Diceros bicornis minor: one gene and its partner. The protein of the gene in region 1 interacts with the protein of each later gene in a pairwise test. Links are inferred from orthologs where the notes say so. Each region holds a gene or a part of one and is shown in the gene's direction. Other genes may lie near its edges.

Evidence for each region.
Region 2: the proteins of PRKAR1A (region 1) and AKAP1 interact in a two-hybrid assay, tested with the Homo sapiens proteins (2 studies listed by BioGRID and IntAct). The link is inferred for Diceros bicornis minor from reciprocal best matches to the Homo sapiens genes PRKAR1A and AKAP1.

The regions. Positions count from the first base shown.
Region 1 is NC_080757.1:50,074,472-50,081,698, forward strand, and holds the start of PRKAR1A (cAMP-dependent protein kinase type I-alpha regulatory subunit), read left to right. Parts: upstream 1-4,139; 5' UTR 4,140-4,218; intron 4,219-4,497; exon of another isoform or gene 4,498-4,606; intron 4,607-5,047; exon of another isoform or gene 5,048-5,066; intron 5,067-7,227. UniProt on the Homo sapiens protein: Regulatory subunit of the cAMP-dependent protein kinases involved in cAMP signaling in cells.
Region 2 is NC_080757.1:30,451,623-30,459,828, reverse strand, and holds the start of AKAP1 (A-kinase anchor protein 1, mitochondrial), read left to right. Parts: upstream 1-4,933; 5' UTR 4,934-5,006; intron 5,007-5,622; exon of another isoform or gene 5,623-6,355; intron 6,356-6,648; exon of another isoform or gene 6,649-6,772; intron 6,773-8,206.

The DNA.
Region 1 (7,227 bases):
GCTCAGGAAACATTTGTAAAAGCTTCTGGACCTGGGATCCATGCAGAGATGGGCTTCAGATCTCTGAGTCCCCTGAAATAAGAGGATAAATGTCTTACGTGTGTCTGTTTGGGCATATTTTCTGAGGAGAAAGCCCATTGTTTTCATGAGCTTCTCAGTGGGGACCATGACCAAAAAAAAAAAAAAAAAAAAATTAAGATTTCCTGGAAGAGGTATAGATACATGGTCAGTAAAATGCTAACATGGGGACAAATTAACAAGATTTGTTGACTTAGTCAGTTTGACAGAATCAAAGAAAGTTCCTGATTCTAGTCAACACACTCGAAAGGTCTGTGTGGGTGACAGACTCATCACTATTTTTTTAAAGCCTCAGATCCATAACCTATAGATATAAGGTGAGCATTAGTTAAAAATAGTTTAGGCAAGGGAAATTGATATCAGAGGGAGAATATTTAGAAGCAATTCATACAAATATCTGGGCTTGACTTGTTTGTAATGATTAATTTTACGTGTCAATGTGGCTAGGCCCTGGTATCCAATTTTCAGTCAGAAATTAGTCTAGATGTTGTTGAAAGTATTTTTTGGATGTGATTAACTTTTATATCAGTAGATTTTGAGTGAAGCAGATTACCCTGCATAATAGGTGGGCCTCACCCAATCAGTTGAAGGTCATAATAGAAAAGATTGAGGTTCCCCGAGGAAGGAGTTCTGCTTCTAGACTGCCTTCAGACTCAAGGTTGCAATATCAACTCTTTCGTGGATTGCTAGCCTGCCGGCATGCCCTGCAGATTTTGGACTTGCTGGCCTCCACAATCACACGAGCTAATTCCTTAAAATAAATCTCTTTTCTCTCTCTTTCTAGATACACGTTCTATTGGTTCTGTTTCTCTGGAGAACTTGACTAATACAACTCTCTATCTCTCTTGTGGAACATTGTGGATTTAAATATGCTATTTTGGATGAAGATATTTTTATTAGACCCAAGATTGCCACACTTCTGGTTTCATGGTTAATATTTTCAATTAATGCTCAAGATAAACACTCATTCCCCATGTAGATAAGCATTTGCCAGTGAGAAAAATAGGAAGACTTTTGGCATTTGAATGCTTGCTGGAATTGGGTTATGTCTGAAACCACAACCTTGGGTTGCACAGGAAGCATAAATCCTGGGCACCACCGCACACCAAATAGGTGGTGGTAGTCTGAAAAGGTCTCCTTGGAAATCTGAAATATGTGGATTCGTCCTTAGCCAATGGAAACCTTAGGCATAAGAAACACTAAGAATGGGCCACAAGGGCCAGCCTGGTGGCTTAGCGGCTGGGTGCGCGCGCTCCGCTGCTGGCGGCCCGGGGTCAGATCCCGGGCGCGCGCCGATGTGCTGCTTCTCTGGCCATGCTGGGGCCGCGTCCCACATACAGCAACTGGAAGGATGTGCAGCTATGACAGACAACTATCTACTGGAGCTTTGGGGGAAAAATAAATAAATAAATAAAATTATAAAAAAAAGAAAAAGAATGGGCCACAAAAGTGTTCCTTCCTTTTGTGTATTGGCTCTCTCAGTTCTACTTCTGCTTACTAAATGGACCACTGATATTTACTTTGCTTTAAGATTGTTTGCTATTGTTTTGCAAACATCATTAACAGCATTTGAGGAACTTTGTTTTAAAGAAAAAAGTTTACTTACAGCCCCACTATCCTAGAAACTTACTTTGTTGAGCTTTTCAAGGACACAGGCCAAAGGAAAGGCCTGTCAAAGGACCTTGGCATCAAAGGCAGAGTCCTCTGGAGAAGGGGAAACCGCACAGAAACGACAGGAGAGCAATTGTCATTTCTGAAATGTAATTTACAAGTTGTCATTCTCACAGCGGCCCGGTGGTACTGAAAGGGCATTCACACCATTTGGAAACCACTGTGGCTCTTTGGTTTTTCAGAACAGCTGTCTCAGTGAACTCTCCCCAGGCTCAACTATCTCCTGTCCATTTCCCTTTTTGTCTGTTAAAGCCCCAGCATATGAGGATTTGGCAGCCAGAACAAGGCTGAACGCGACTGACACAGGAAACAGGCCCGTGGCTGGACAGATGCCCAAATGCAGCTGAATGGGGTCACACACCCGTGCTAAGGCAGGGAAACAGCTGTCACTCAAAGCACTGGGCTTAATATCACCAGCTTGCTTGTTTCCTTATTCTAAGTGTCTTAATGGACTTAGGGAGGTAACACTACTGTTGGGACACAGTACAACTCAGTCTTAAGCTTGTAGTTTGAGTGGCGCTTTAGGAAGAGGGAGAAGTGGGAAGTAAACATTTATTTACTGCATCCCACACTGTGCTGGGCACCTTATTTATATATACTATGCTGCAAAGGAGAGTGAGTGATTAAAGATCACTGCCTGGGTGTGAGCCACACTAGCTGTGCGGCCTTGCGCACGTCACTTAACTCTTCATGCCTCATTTTCCTTCCGTAACAATAACGCAATAATAGTACCCACGCCATAGAGTTACTCTGAGGATTAAATTAATTATTATGTGTAAAGCACTTAGAACAGTGCCAGGAACATAGTAAGCACTGTATGCGTCTTTGCCATTATTATCTTTACTAGTTAATTTTAACAGAGCCCTGCTTATCCTTTTATGATGGAAGAAACTGAGGTTCATGGCGATTAAGTCAATTACCGGAGATGGCAGAGCCTGAAACCACACTCAGATTTATCTGACGGCAGTGTTTTCTTCTTAGAACACGATCGGGCCTGCTCAATGCTATCGAATTCCCTCTCCTGCTTGCCAGCTTAGGGTTCAGTTTATTAGACCTTCTTTGTACTGACGAGGGTGAAATCCTATACGACTGAGGCGCTGTCCTTAATCCTCCATTCCTCCCATCCCTGGCGAAAGGCCAGGTCAGCATGAGGAGGGGTCAGTGGGAGGGGAAACTTCCCTCCTACATTCTTCTGTGGGCCTAATCGGCCCTTGTGATGTTGCCTACACTTGCTCTTTCAGAAAGCAGAGGATAACTCTAACTAACTAAAAGAAATACTCTGATGAGCAGGACGCTTATCACACTGCTTGATTTAGGGGAGCAGTTGGCCTCTTAGGGCAGTGCTGTCCAAAAGAAATAAAACATCAGCCATATATGTAATTAAAATTTTTCTAATAACTATATTAAAAAAGTAAAAAACAAAGGCGAAATTAATTTTAATCGTATTTAACCTAATATATCCAAAATGTTACCATTTCAATCTGGAAACAGTATAAAAATTATTGAGATATTTATATACTTTTTTTGTACACAAACCCATTGTGTATTTTACACATACAGCTCTGGAGCTATATACCATGCGATATAGCAGGTACAGTCCGACACAAGAATTTGTGTCCTCCACGGGCCTTTTTCATTTAGCGACTTTATGTGCCTAAAACTGTCCCCGGCTTCCCCTTTCTTCCTCCACGGGCAGATACTCTGATGGTAAAAAATGGCTGAGGCAGTAAAGAAGTCGCTTTTTCCCCCCTAGTCATCCCTGACTAGCGCAGTTTTTGAGGGCAGTTGAGATTTCTTGTGTGGTCACAGAGGGCTTATGCCAATCGGCACGCTTTGTACTTCTCACCATGCGGGGTCAGGCGTGATGATGGGGGGTATTTCAGGTTCTAGAAGGATTGAGGCCTCTCTCGGACCCTGACAAAGTCCTTTCCAGTGTCTTGTGCTCATAGGGACCGTGTGGCCTCCTTTGACGACAGCACCTCCGGAGGGGAGAGCAGCTCGATCTGCCAAGCAGACACTTGGCGGGGCTCAGATTTCCTGGACCGGATGGCGGGCCCGAGCCCGGAGGCCCGCGCGGCGCTGGCCGGGCACAGGATGAGCGGCGGGGCGTGCGCATCCCGGGCATCCGCCCGGGCTCGGCCCGCGGCGCAGCTGCCGCAGATCCGCCGGGGCCGCCGCCTCCTCCGCGGACTGGAAAAGGCAGGAACCTTCCCGCCCCGGCCCCGCGTCCTCCCCCGGCAGGGGCCAGGGGGCGGAGTCGCCCACCTGTCATCCGAGACGCCCCACGTGGGTCGGCCCGGGGGGGGGGGGGTGGGAGTTGAAGGGAGGGAGAAAAGGCAGAGGCGGCGAGGGAGGCAGGAGAGTGGGGAGGAGAGGAGCAGAGGAGAGAGAACTCCCGATAGCCGCGCAGAGAGCTAGCGAAGAGCAGAGGAAGAATAAAGGGGACCCGAGGCATCCAGAGAGGAACAGGTAAGGAGGGGCAGGTGAACCGAAGGAGGGAAGCACCGGGCTAGAGAGAATGGGGAAAGGAAAAGACGGGAGTGAGGAAGGGGCTGCGGATAAGAGACCAGGTAAGACAGAAACGAGCAGAAGGAGAAAGATTTCAGGATGAAGAGGGGCGGGGGAAGACCTGGGGCCGCGGCGCCTTTAAGGTTGCCAAGGCGACGGCTCTGGCCAGAGCGAGGCGCATTGACGTCGGCAGCCGAGCGCTGATTGGCTGCGGCCAGGTCGTTTCCGGTGGAGCCGCGGCGGAGCCGCTATCGCAGAGTGGACCCTGGCTGGGAGGGAATCGCTGGGAGACCTCAGCCAGCTGCAGCCTCGCACCCTCAGCCCCGTGCCCGCCGCCGCCCGTCCCCAGGTGAGTGGGGTGTGTCGAGGGCCCCGGCGCGGCGAGCTTCGCCGCCCCGCCGCCCGTTTGGGGGCGCTGGACCGATCCAAGATGGCGTCACGGGGAGCGACCTGCAGGGGAACGGCCGCACCCCCTGCCCCTCCCCGGCCCCGGCGGGCGCCTCCCCGCAGGCCTCACGACCCGGGCCGCCGGCCCCGAGTCTGCACCTCCGAGGGCCCCCGGGCCGCCGGGGCGTCTGCTCCGGTGCGGGGTTTCCCCGCCGCCCCGCCCCCTACTCCTCTCCGGCGCGCTACCCCCACTCCGCGCCCCCAGGCCCCCGGCCTCTGCGGCCTTCCCGAGCCCTCCGCGGCCATCGCGCCCCCGCCTCCTCCGCCCCCGCGCGCCGCGGCCTCTTCGCTCGCCCTCCCCCCTTTCCTGAAGGACGACAGCTCGATTTTACCGGAATCCGCCATCGTTTCCCGCAGCGTTTGTGGGTGATCTCGAGACCTAGCCGTTCTTGTTTTCCTCTCTGCTGTCTCCTGCTTGTCATGCCTAGCAGTCGCTTTCCCTCTCTTTCCCGAGATTACTGCCCCCCCCCACCCCCCAGGATGATCTTAGGCTGGCTCAAAAATTTCCTTTTGTCGTCTTTCACCTCCCTTCCTTTCCTGATTTTTTTTCTCTGAGGGGTCCTCGCCGCCGCTGTGGTCTTCCGACTAGAGTAGGATGAAGGATCGGCCTCCCGTCTTCTTTTTGTGGCCATGACGGTGGCATAAGTGAAGTGAAGGGCACTTTTCTGTCCTTCCTCTCGAAAATACGCGATACCTGTTAACCCGTCCAGCTCAGTGCAGGTGTGATGCCAGACGACTTAACTACTTGAGAGATTCCCAAGAGATCGGTCTTTTCAGCAGAGCACAGAAAGCTAACACTTCCTTAAGATGACCGCAAGGAAGTGTTCCTGGCTGGTCTGGGGGGCTGCGGTCTGAATCAGCAAGTTTCTCACTGTTTTAAGTATTTCCTCGCGTGTAATCCTTTTCAAACTGAATTTTATCACAACTGAATTTCCAAAAGAAGGAATCTGAGTATTTTCTTATGAGTAGAGACAATGCGGTGGAAGTGTTAAAGTAGTCAAGTAATTTTTGGGCGGAGAAGCTCAATTGTTGGGCTCTTAAAACTAAGTACAAGTACAGAGTTAATCTAGGTATGTTTGATTAAAAATATTAAGACCATGAAATTTCAGTATTTGGTGGTTTATATAGTGACTGCGTTAATCTTGGGACATTTTTGTTAATGTGCTACCTTATTATCAGCGTCATCTTTTTGGTCTTTTTAATACATTATTTCAGACAAAAACCAATTTCATCTCTGAGACCCAATTCTCTCATTTCTATCAGTCAGAGACCTGATTTTTGAATGATTTCTCTGATCAGTTGAATACATGTATTGATATTTCTGAAATATGTCTGAATGTTTTGAAGCACAAAGGATCTGATTTATCATTGTTCTTGAGGGCCTTCAGTGTTATTTGCTATACAGAAAATTCTACTGAAGTGGATTCTGAGTTTATATGATTCACTTGGAAAAGTGGCTGGTATAAATCTGTCCTAAAGTTAATGACCCTTTTTTTTTTTTTTGGAGTGTCTATTTCTGATGTAGCAGCATGATTCTTTTTCCATGCCTCTAATTTATGTGCCTGTCAGGGAGCTACACACTTTCTCATGGTCTGTTAATTAGTCTACTCGTTATTGACCTTTATCATGAAAGTTGTCAAAACAAAATGACTAACAGTGTAGCACTTGAGCTCTTTACTCTGGTATTTCTTTCTCTCTCTTTTTAAATTTATAGTTTTACCTCAGTGGTTTTGTGTACATTATATTTGGAAAAGTCCGATTAGTATTGAATTCAGTTGCAGAGTGGAGGGCACCTGGATTTTATCTTCTCATCTTATTGCTTAGTACAGTAATTAGGAGTTGGAAGGAAAACAGTTTATGACTCTGTTGTTAAATTACTAAACTTTAAATTCCAGGGTAAGGTTAGCTGCTCATTATTATGTATCTGTTTACTTCACATCAAGGTAGTTGGAACCCTGTAAAATTCATTAAATGCAATTTATCTATTGCATCTTCACGTAAGTTTAAAATTTAACGTGTTTTGACATTTTCCTGTCCAAATCTTTTATCGTTTACTTAGCAAGGTTTTTTTGGTCTGTTTTATTTTTTTTCTATTAAGGATCTTCCCTCCTACCAGTGGGTGGTGAGTGTGTTATCATTTAGGGCTGGAATGTAGTAAAAGAGTGTGGAATAAAAGGTTGCTTTTAAAATTCATCTGAGGTTCCTTATGTGTTTTTAAAATTTTTGATTATACTAGTAGTTGGCTAATCAGATCCTCTGCTCCAGTGATTTCTTGGGAGACATTAGAACACTCCCCTGGGGTAGGCGTTACGTATAGGGAATGTCAGATGTTCTTCCTTGTGCTTACTTGCTGTCACTTAGAGCTAACTTGTGTGCCCTTGTAATTCTCTGTCCTGTTTACCATTTACACACTTCCCACGTCACCATGATTTCTTTTGCAGGGGGAGGACTGAATGAAATTCCCTCAAGGGACTGACTCCTCAGCAGCCCGGCTCTGCAGGGGATAGTGGCTCATACTTCCTC
Region 2 (8,206 bases), about 20 Mb from region 1:
AGGCTCAATTTCCAAACTGAACCACCATTCGAAGAAGCTGGGAAAACTGGAGGGTACTCTGGGAAATGGCCAGCCATACCCCTGCCAGCCACCACTGAACAGAACCAGAATTAAGAACTTAACTACATGGCTAGAAAAGTCCCAGAAAGTATGTGGTGGTGTTGGTGCCAGAGCCTGGGTAGTGTCTATTCGAGGCCCCTTCATCATAGCCACTTGGATGGGGCCTCTGCCCTGTGAAGCCAGGGCACATTGGGTCTGGAGGGGAGGAAGGGGACAGCCCCCTTTTATCACCTGCTGAATGACTTCACATTCCCTTTTTCTACCTGGCATCCATGGGTTCAGGAAAGAAGGGCACTGTGTCAGTTTCCTAGGACTGCTGTAACAAAGTACCAAAAACTGGGTGGCTTAAAATAGTAGATTTATTGTCTCATGGTTCTGGAGGAAAGAAGTCCAAAATCAAGTTGTCAATAGGACTGAGCTCCCTCTGAAACCAGTAGAGGAATCCTTCCCAGCCTCTTCCTCACTTCTGGTGGTTTGCTGGCAATCTTGGACTTTCCTTGGCTTGCAGATGCATAAATCCAATCCTCTGTTGTCACACGGTGTTCTCCCTGTGTATCTCTGTCTTCACGTGGCCATCTTCTTATAAGCACACCAGCCGTACTGCATTAGGGGCCCAATCTACTCCACTATGACCTCAACAAATTACATCTGCCCCATTTCCAAATAAGGTCCCATTCTGAGGTACTGGGGATTAGGACTTCAACATAACTTTTTGGGGGGGACACAATTCAATCTATAGCAGACATGCCCCTGTATAAATCTGCTCCTAGGATCTTTAGGTCTGCCTACAGCAGCAGTTAGTGAGTTGGTTAATCCATGGGCTCCAAGTCAGATTGCTTGCGTTAAAACCTTGCCTCTGCAGCTGTGTGACTAAAGGGAATGTAAAATGTATACAGTATAACAAGAGTATCTAGTTTTTGAGGTTGGTGGAGGATTAGGATAAAGTACTTTGCACAGTGCTGGGCATTAAGTGCTCATTAAGTATTGGCCATTAATATTGTTATTCCCCATCTCTTTCCATTGACTCGTCTAGGAGCAGATCATTTATTCTTCCCTGCAAACACACATGGCCCCAGGCCATAACCAAGTGCTTCTTCAGTTTAAGGGAATAGCGAGTGGGGTGGAGAGTGGGAGGGGTTGGGTTCCACTTGTTTATTCTGTTAAACTGAAGGAGTAAAGACACTCCTTCACTGTATTGCCCATAAAGGAGACAGTTCATATTTGTTTGCACTGAAAAAGTTCCTTCTGTAGATGCTTCCAGTAGGAAAGGCAGGACATTTCTCAACTATGTGCCCCCTTAAGTTGGAGGGGCTATCAAGAGAAAACAACTGGCTGACTTTATAAAAGAGCCTCACAAGATGATGTTTTGATGAAATTCCCTAAGGCCCGGCATCAAGCCCTCACTCAGCTTTATGACAGGCTCAGAAACTTCACCATGTTCGAGTCCCAGAACTGAAAGCTGAGTCAAACAAAAAGCATTCACAAACCACACCAGATGTAGAAAACAAGAGGGCCACTTACGTAATTTACAATGACAAAAATCTACCTCTCAGGCGGACCAGTGCCTTCCACATGTCCAACCACGACTTCTCTCCTTGAGCAGAATTATACCAGAAGGTTGCCTGGTGAGGATGGAGTCAGAATGAAGGGTGGTGTGCGTTATAGACTTTCAATGAATCATTGCATCGGCTTCTGATCAGACCGTTTCCACTTATCAGAGAAGGCAGCTTCTACATTAGCTTGTGTTGGGGACCTCCTCCCTTAAGTGGGCACTGCCCACTTCTTTTTTGTCTCCTTTTAGTGCTTTATTATTCATCCCTTCCTTCTGACTGACATAATCTTTTTTTTTAGATACAGCATTACCTTCTCTCTTGCTCTATTTACCAGATCCTTATTCTTTTTTTTTTTTTTTATGTCAGGATCACAGAATCTGATAGAAGTTATCCATAACTATTTCTGCAGAAAAACATCATACTTATAAAACCATGTGAGCAATTTCAGGGGGTTCGTGGATTTCCTTGAAGCTGTTTTATGCATCCTATCTTAAAATCTTTGCCTTCAGCAGACACTTTGCCCATTTTGAGCTGATGTTCAAGTTTAAGTCTAACAATGTAGTCCTATTTTCCTCATGGCCAAGTTCTTAGGATCACCTTCCACCCTCACCTCCCTTCTCATAGCACCTTCTAATCTTATACTAGGGCCACCCCGTGACCTCTGAACTGCCCTGACCTGTGGCCACCTCCTCAGCCACAGCTGCTGGGTTGATCTCTGGTTGTGGTTTCAGTTCATCCTGTGCTCTCCCCTTTGACTCCTGTCTTGTACTTTCCCTTGTATTCCGGTTACCCCTTTCCTTTATTCTTCCTCATTCCTTCCATCCTGGCAGGCTCTGCCCCTGTCTCCAAGCACAGGATATGACTGACATATTGATCGCATTTGCCCCCTGCTTTCTGTCCCTCCCTCTCATCACCACATTCAGAGCCTCATCTCCTCTTTCTTCTACTCTCTCCCTCTCCTCATTTTTTCCTACCAATGCTTCCAGGACTTACCCCACTAGACATCATTTTTTCAATTTCTTCCCTGTAGGCACTTCCCACCTCCACCATCACCAGGGCATTGTCCTTCTTTAAAATATCTGCTTTGTACGTGATTTTCAATACATATTTGTATTTCCCACCCAGACCACTCCTCTGAGCTCCAGGCTTGCACATCCAACTTAATTACTGTTTGCATTTAGATGTCACAAACACAGTACAAACGTAAGGGGTCCGAAATGAAACTATGGATTCTCTGCCCCCATCTTGCCCCATCTCAATAAATTGTACCCCATTTCACACAGTAACTCAAGCCAGAGGAAGCATCATTCATTGTCCCCTTTTCCTTACCCCCAATAACATGAGTGAGTCTTGTTGCTACTACTTCCAAAATATATCTTGAGTCCCAAGCAGTCTCTTCATACCCACTGCCATGACTCTTAGCTCAGGCCAGCATCATTTCTCACCTGGACCACTGCATCAGCCTCCCAACTCGTCTCCCCACTTCTGTGCTGGTCTTCCTCTAATCCATTCTTTCCACGGCAGCTACAGCTCCCTTTTAAAAACAGAAATTATGTTGTGTCACTCTCTACTTAACTCTCTTTAATGGCTTCCCATTCATTCACTGAAGCCATTTTTACTGAGTGTCCTCCATGTGCCATGCCCTCAATAATGTGTCCTCTCATGAACAAATGAGGTATATAGTATGTAGATAGTGGTAAGTACTATGAAGAAAAATAAAGAAGGGATAAGGAACAGGGAAGTGTGTGTGTGTGTGTGTGGTTACAATTTTAAATAGGGAGTCCAGGGAAGGCTTCACTGAAACTGAGTAGGTGACCTTTGAGCAAAGGACTTGAAAGAGGTAAGGGAGTGAGCTCTGCAGAATATTCCAGTTGGAGGGAATAGCAAGTGCAAAGGCCCTGAGACAGAAGCATGCCTGGCTTTGGGGCTGAGCAGAGTAGAATACAATTCAAGCTTTACTATGGTTTGTAAGGCAGCGCAGTTCCCTCAAAAAATAAAACCTCCTCCCTCTAGGTCTCCAACCTTCTTTTCCAGCACTGTCCCCCCACCCCACACACACACCCACCCCCGAGATTCCATCCACCCTGATCTTCCAGTTCACAAGAAGCTGTTTTGCCTGTGTTGTTGCCTCTGCTGGGCATACTCTCCAACTCCTACTCCCAAATACAATTTGCAAGGCCAGCTCCTTCTCACCTAGTAGGCTTCAGTTTAAATTTCACCTTAGTCCTTTTCCAACTACACCACCTAAAATAGATCTCTTCTTGTTATTTCTTTTCTATTTCAGCTTCCTATTTGTTTCCTTCATGGCATTAATCACACCGTGCAATCGGGATTCATATATACTATAGGAATTTATACTTAAAACTCAATAGGTAAATGCTATCTCACTGCCATTTAAATTTGCATTTGATCACCAATGAAGATGAAGCATTTTCCCAAGTAATGGTTTGTTCTTAGCATGATCTCTTTTCTATATTGTGCCCAAACAAATGTTCACTTAAAGTCCCTATGCCTTAAGACTGAGAGCAGGCCTGGCCAGCGGGAACCCCACCCTGTCCACTTGTCTGGGGGCAATTTATTTTCCCAAGTTTCCTAGCGGAGTCAGTGACTCATGGTGATTATTTCTTCATGGGAATTATTCCAAAAGCCAAACCCACTTAGAGGAAAGTGTTTCGCTTCGACATCACCAAGGTGTGAAAATGGGCAAGCACCTTGCATTTAAGTGGTGGCAAGTACTCCCATTACGCGGTTATTATTGAGCAATTATTAATGGCCACCTGATTATGCATACAATGTAATGACAGTTGCAGGGAAGCAAAGGGAGCCCTGCCCCTCACCGGCCCCTTGGCCTTTTTCAGGGGGCTCTCCATGACGAGGCAGGCAGATGGTCTAACTGACCGCTCGAGATCGCCCAGAGCCGAGGCGGGAGAACCCGCGCTGGGACCGGGCGGGGCAGAACTTCGAGGTTCCCGGGGTTCTGAAAGCTCCGGCCAGGCCCCTCTCCCGAGCTCCGCCGAGATTACAGCTCATCTCGCGAGAGCACGAGCAGGACCCGACTGTGGGCGGCGGCGGCGGGATGTTGGCTGAGCCCTCCTGACCGCGCCCCCTCTGGCGCAGCTGGGAGAGGCCTGGGCGGGAACGGCCGGCGGCGCGCACGCGCAGGTGAGCCGAGCGGGCGCGGGGGCGCGAGGGCGGGGGGCGGGGCCTTGCGTCGCGCCGCGGGCACGTCGCTGCGCGTCCTCAGTATTTAATGTCTCTGTGTTCCACCGGCCTGGGCGAGCACGTGGGGGAGCGGCCGCGGCGCAGCTCTGCGGGGCCGGGCCGCGGGGCCGAGGCGGGAGGCGGGGGGCGGCGGCGCCAGGACTCTGCATCCCGGCGGTCGCCGAGGAGCTGGTAAGTTGGGGCCGCCTCGGGACCACCTGCCGGGGCCCTGAGGGCGACGCCGTCGGGGTGATGGGGAGCCGAGTCTGCAGGTGCGGGGTGCGACGCGCGCTCCAGGTGTCCCGGGGACCGAAGGCTCCGGACGCCGAGCGCGTGCAGAGGGTCTCCGGCCCGTCTCCTGCTGTCAAGCAGGCCCTTCTTTCCCTTTCGTCGTTCTGCGCGCCCCCTCGTCCTCCCCTGCCAGGGTTGTCTGCCCGCGGGCTCCTGCTGACAGGTCGCGTGTGCGTGGCTGGGGGGCGCGCTCTGCAGCCGCGCTCTGCCCCCCACGCGCGTCATCATCCTCGGGGGCGAGGGGCGAGGACGCGACGCCCCGGGGACCGGTCTTCGGCTTAACTTTCCCGGAGCGCGCACGCCCTCCGGTGAGACAGACCTGAGCGCGTCCCACCCAAGGTCGCCCAACCCCACACGCGTTTACTTTTCAAAGGTCGTGTGTACCCAGTCTTAGCCGGGAGCGGCGGCGGGGGGGCGGGCTCTGGGCAGGGCCTGGTGCTCAGAAGGGCGAGGAGGTCCCCTACGGCCCGCGGGCACTCGTTTCCCCGTCCTGAGGGGTTGGAGTTGAATTGGTCACTTCAGGAACCTCCCCGACTTCTGGGCCCCTTTAGCTCGCCCTGGCTTGCTCCCCACCTAGGCCTGGCGGTTGCCCACCCGAGCAGGTAGCTCAGCCCCTGGGAGTTCAGTGCGGCGAACCAGGAGAAAGGGCTTGGTTTGCGGACCCGGGAGGATAGGCTAGGAGACCGGTTGTGATTGGAACCCTGTTTTGGGCAGAGGGACCGCTTGAACCTAGTTAGGGTCCCGAGGTCAAAGCCTTGGTGTCTCGAGAGGATAAGCATTTGCAGCCCCTTAAAGGGTGTCCGGAGAGGCGAGGCCGTCCTGCCCGGTGCGCCCGCTGACTTCATGCCCCGGGGCGCGTGGGTCACATGTCGCGCTCCGCCTGCACACCGCCCCCAGCCGGCCGGCGGTCTGGAGGGACCACGCTAGTTTCGGGGTTAGGGTCAAAATTATGCTTGGAGAGGCTGTAGTCTGGACGCTTCGGGGGCGGGCTTTCGCCAGTTCAACTATTTTGTGCCCTGGCATACGGTTCCTCCCGTTTCCCTTCCAAGAGAGGCTTAAGGAAGGAAAGGAGCTGTTGGTGGTGGGCGGTGCCGACCTGACCCGAGACAGCTTGGAAGTGCCGGGTATTTCGCGATCTTCCTCTCCGGCGGAGACGCCCAGGTTGGCGGGCGCTTTCCTGCTCCCCGGCCGCCGCTAACACAAAGCCGGTGGACTTCGCTCCAGGTGTGAGGGGAGGCCTCTCAAGCCAGGTAGGGTGTCTGGGCACGGCAATTAGGTTAAACAAGCCATCTTGCCCTTACTGAAGTAAGGCTGCAGCGGGCTTCTTGGTGTTTAAATTTATTTCCTGCAGGGAGCTATGGGCTTCTGGCCCCGTGGTGCATCATAATCTGTTGGTTGCTCACAATTACTGATGAAGGAACACCTTATTGTGCTCTTGTAACTAAGTCTTCCCCAAATTAGTGGTTTTTTTTTTTTTTTTAACTATTTAGAAAACAAAGCTTGGAATCTTAGTAAGCAACATCCATCTCTTTTGCTCTTAAAGGTACAGAGCATCTTTGAAATGAAGAGAGAGCAGCAGCATTTGAACATTTATCAGATTCCTCTGTTCTTGGCTCTCAAGTGGTTCACCTGCTGATTATTTAAGACTTTCTGAGCACTGGAAACAAGTTAAGTTTTGTTTTGGGAGCTTTTGGACTTGTGTTGAACCTTTGCTCTTTCACCACTTCACTAGTTTTGTGGGTTCTGGGTAATAATTGCTGGGTATATTCTCAGATGAAGTATGGCCCAGGGCTAGGGGAGGTCCTCTAGATCCTACAGGTATGCAAATCACAGAAGTTTCAGTGCCTACCTGGGTGAAATAGGCTGTATTGTCACGTGTATTGTTAGGTGATGGCCCAGAATTTGCAGGTAACTGATCTTATCCAAGCCTGTGAATGGATTTGTGTCTAGCTGGAGCCCTTTGTATGAATGTCAGTTCCTCCTCCCAGCTGTTTCTAGGAAATACATTCACACCTGGCCACTGCAGCATGACAGTGAAGGTGTCTGATGTAAGTGGCCTGCTCAGGTGCCAAGTGGATGTGTCTCCAGTGTAAGGTTGCTGAGCATCAATATTTTAAAGCAATTTGTTTTGCTCTACCTGGTAACCCACATTATTCTTGGCTTTGGACCCAGCCAACTCATAGCCATCGTTTGTGGTGAAGGTGAATTTTACCCTTTGCGGTGTTCTCTCTCCTCATCCCAAAGACATATTGAGATAATATAGTGTTTGTGAGACTTGGCGCTAGGCCTGGTACATGATAGTGCTCAAGCATTGTTGCTTTTCCTCCTAAAGAATTCTGAGACTAACATTTTCTCTTGAATCACTAGCGTGATTTGAATTTTATTAGAAGTTCCCCTCCCCTCCAGCCTCTGACCTGGAAACTTGGTTGAAAGGAAAAGGAAAACAAAGTGGTTTCCCCACACTTTGCCAGCCAGCCTCCTGGCTCTAGCCTGCAACAACATGACCCGATGGAACACACGTTTCAGGGCCTGGGGGACTGTGCACCCCATGTCCTTGACGAGCTGCTGCCTGCCAGCCCATTCTACCCAGGCCGCTCCTTCCTAATCTTCCCTGTGAGTGCAGGTTGGTCTGTGCTGTTGTGGGGCAGTTGACAGTTTTGTGTTAATACTTTCAGCTGGCCATTCTGAGGAGTGTTCCTCTGCTCTGGGGAGGTGGTGGGTCCTGTGGGCCTCTTGTCCCACTGGAATAATCTCATACTGTTTGAATTTCTAATTTACGTGGGATGTATTTTAATCCGAAACCTTGCTTCTTAAGGCAAGTTCTGTTTCTTCCACATCCCTTTCTGGCGTAATGCCTCACATGGGTTTCACCTTTGTGATCATTCAGCATTAAGTACCCACTGTATGTGGCACTCCGCTGGGCAAACCTGCTGGCCCTAGTACCTAGTTTTAAACTTGGGTTGTGGAAAACATGTCAGTGACAATGTTCTGAGTAGGACAGTCTGGCTGGAGAAGTAGCTGGCGGGGATGTGGGAACTGATGTTTAGAGGATGCTTTTCCTTGACAGTTACTGTGCTAGATGAGTTACAAGCAAACGTGTC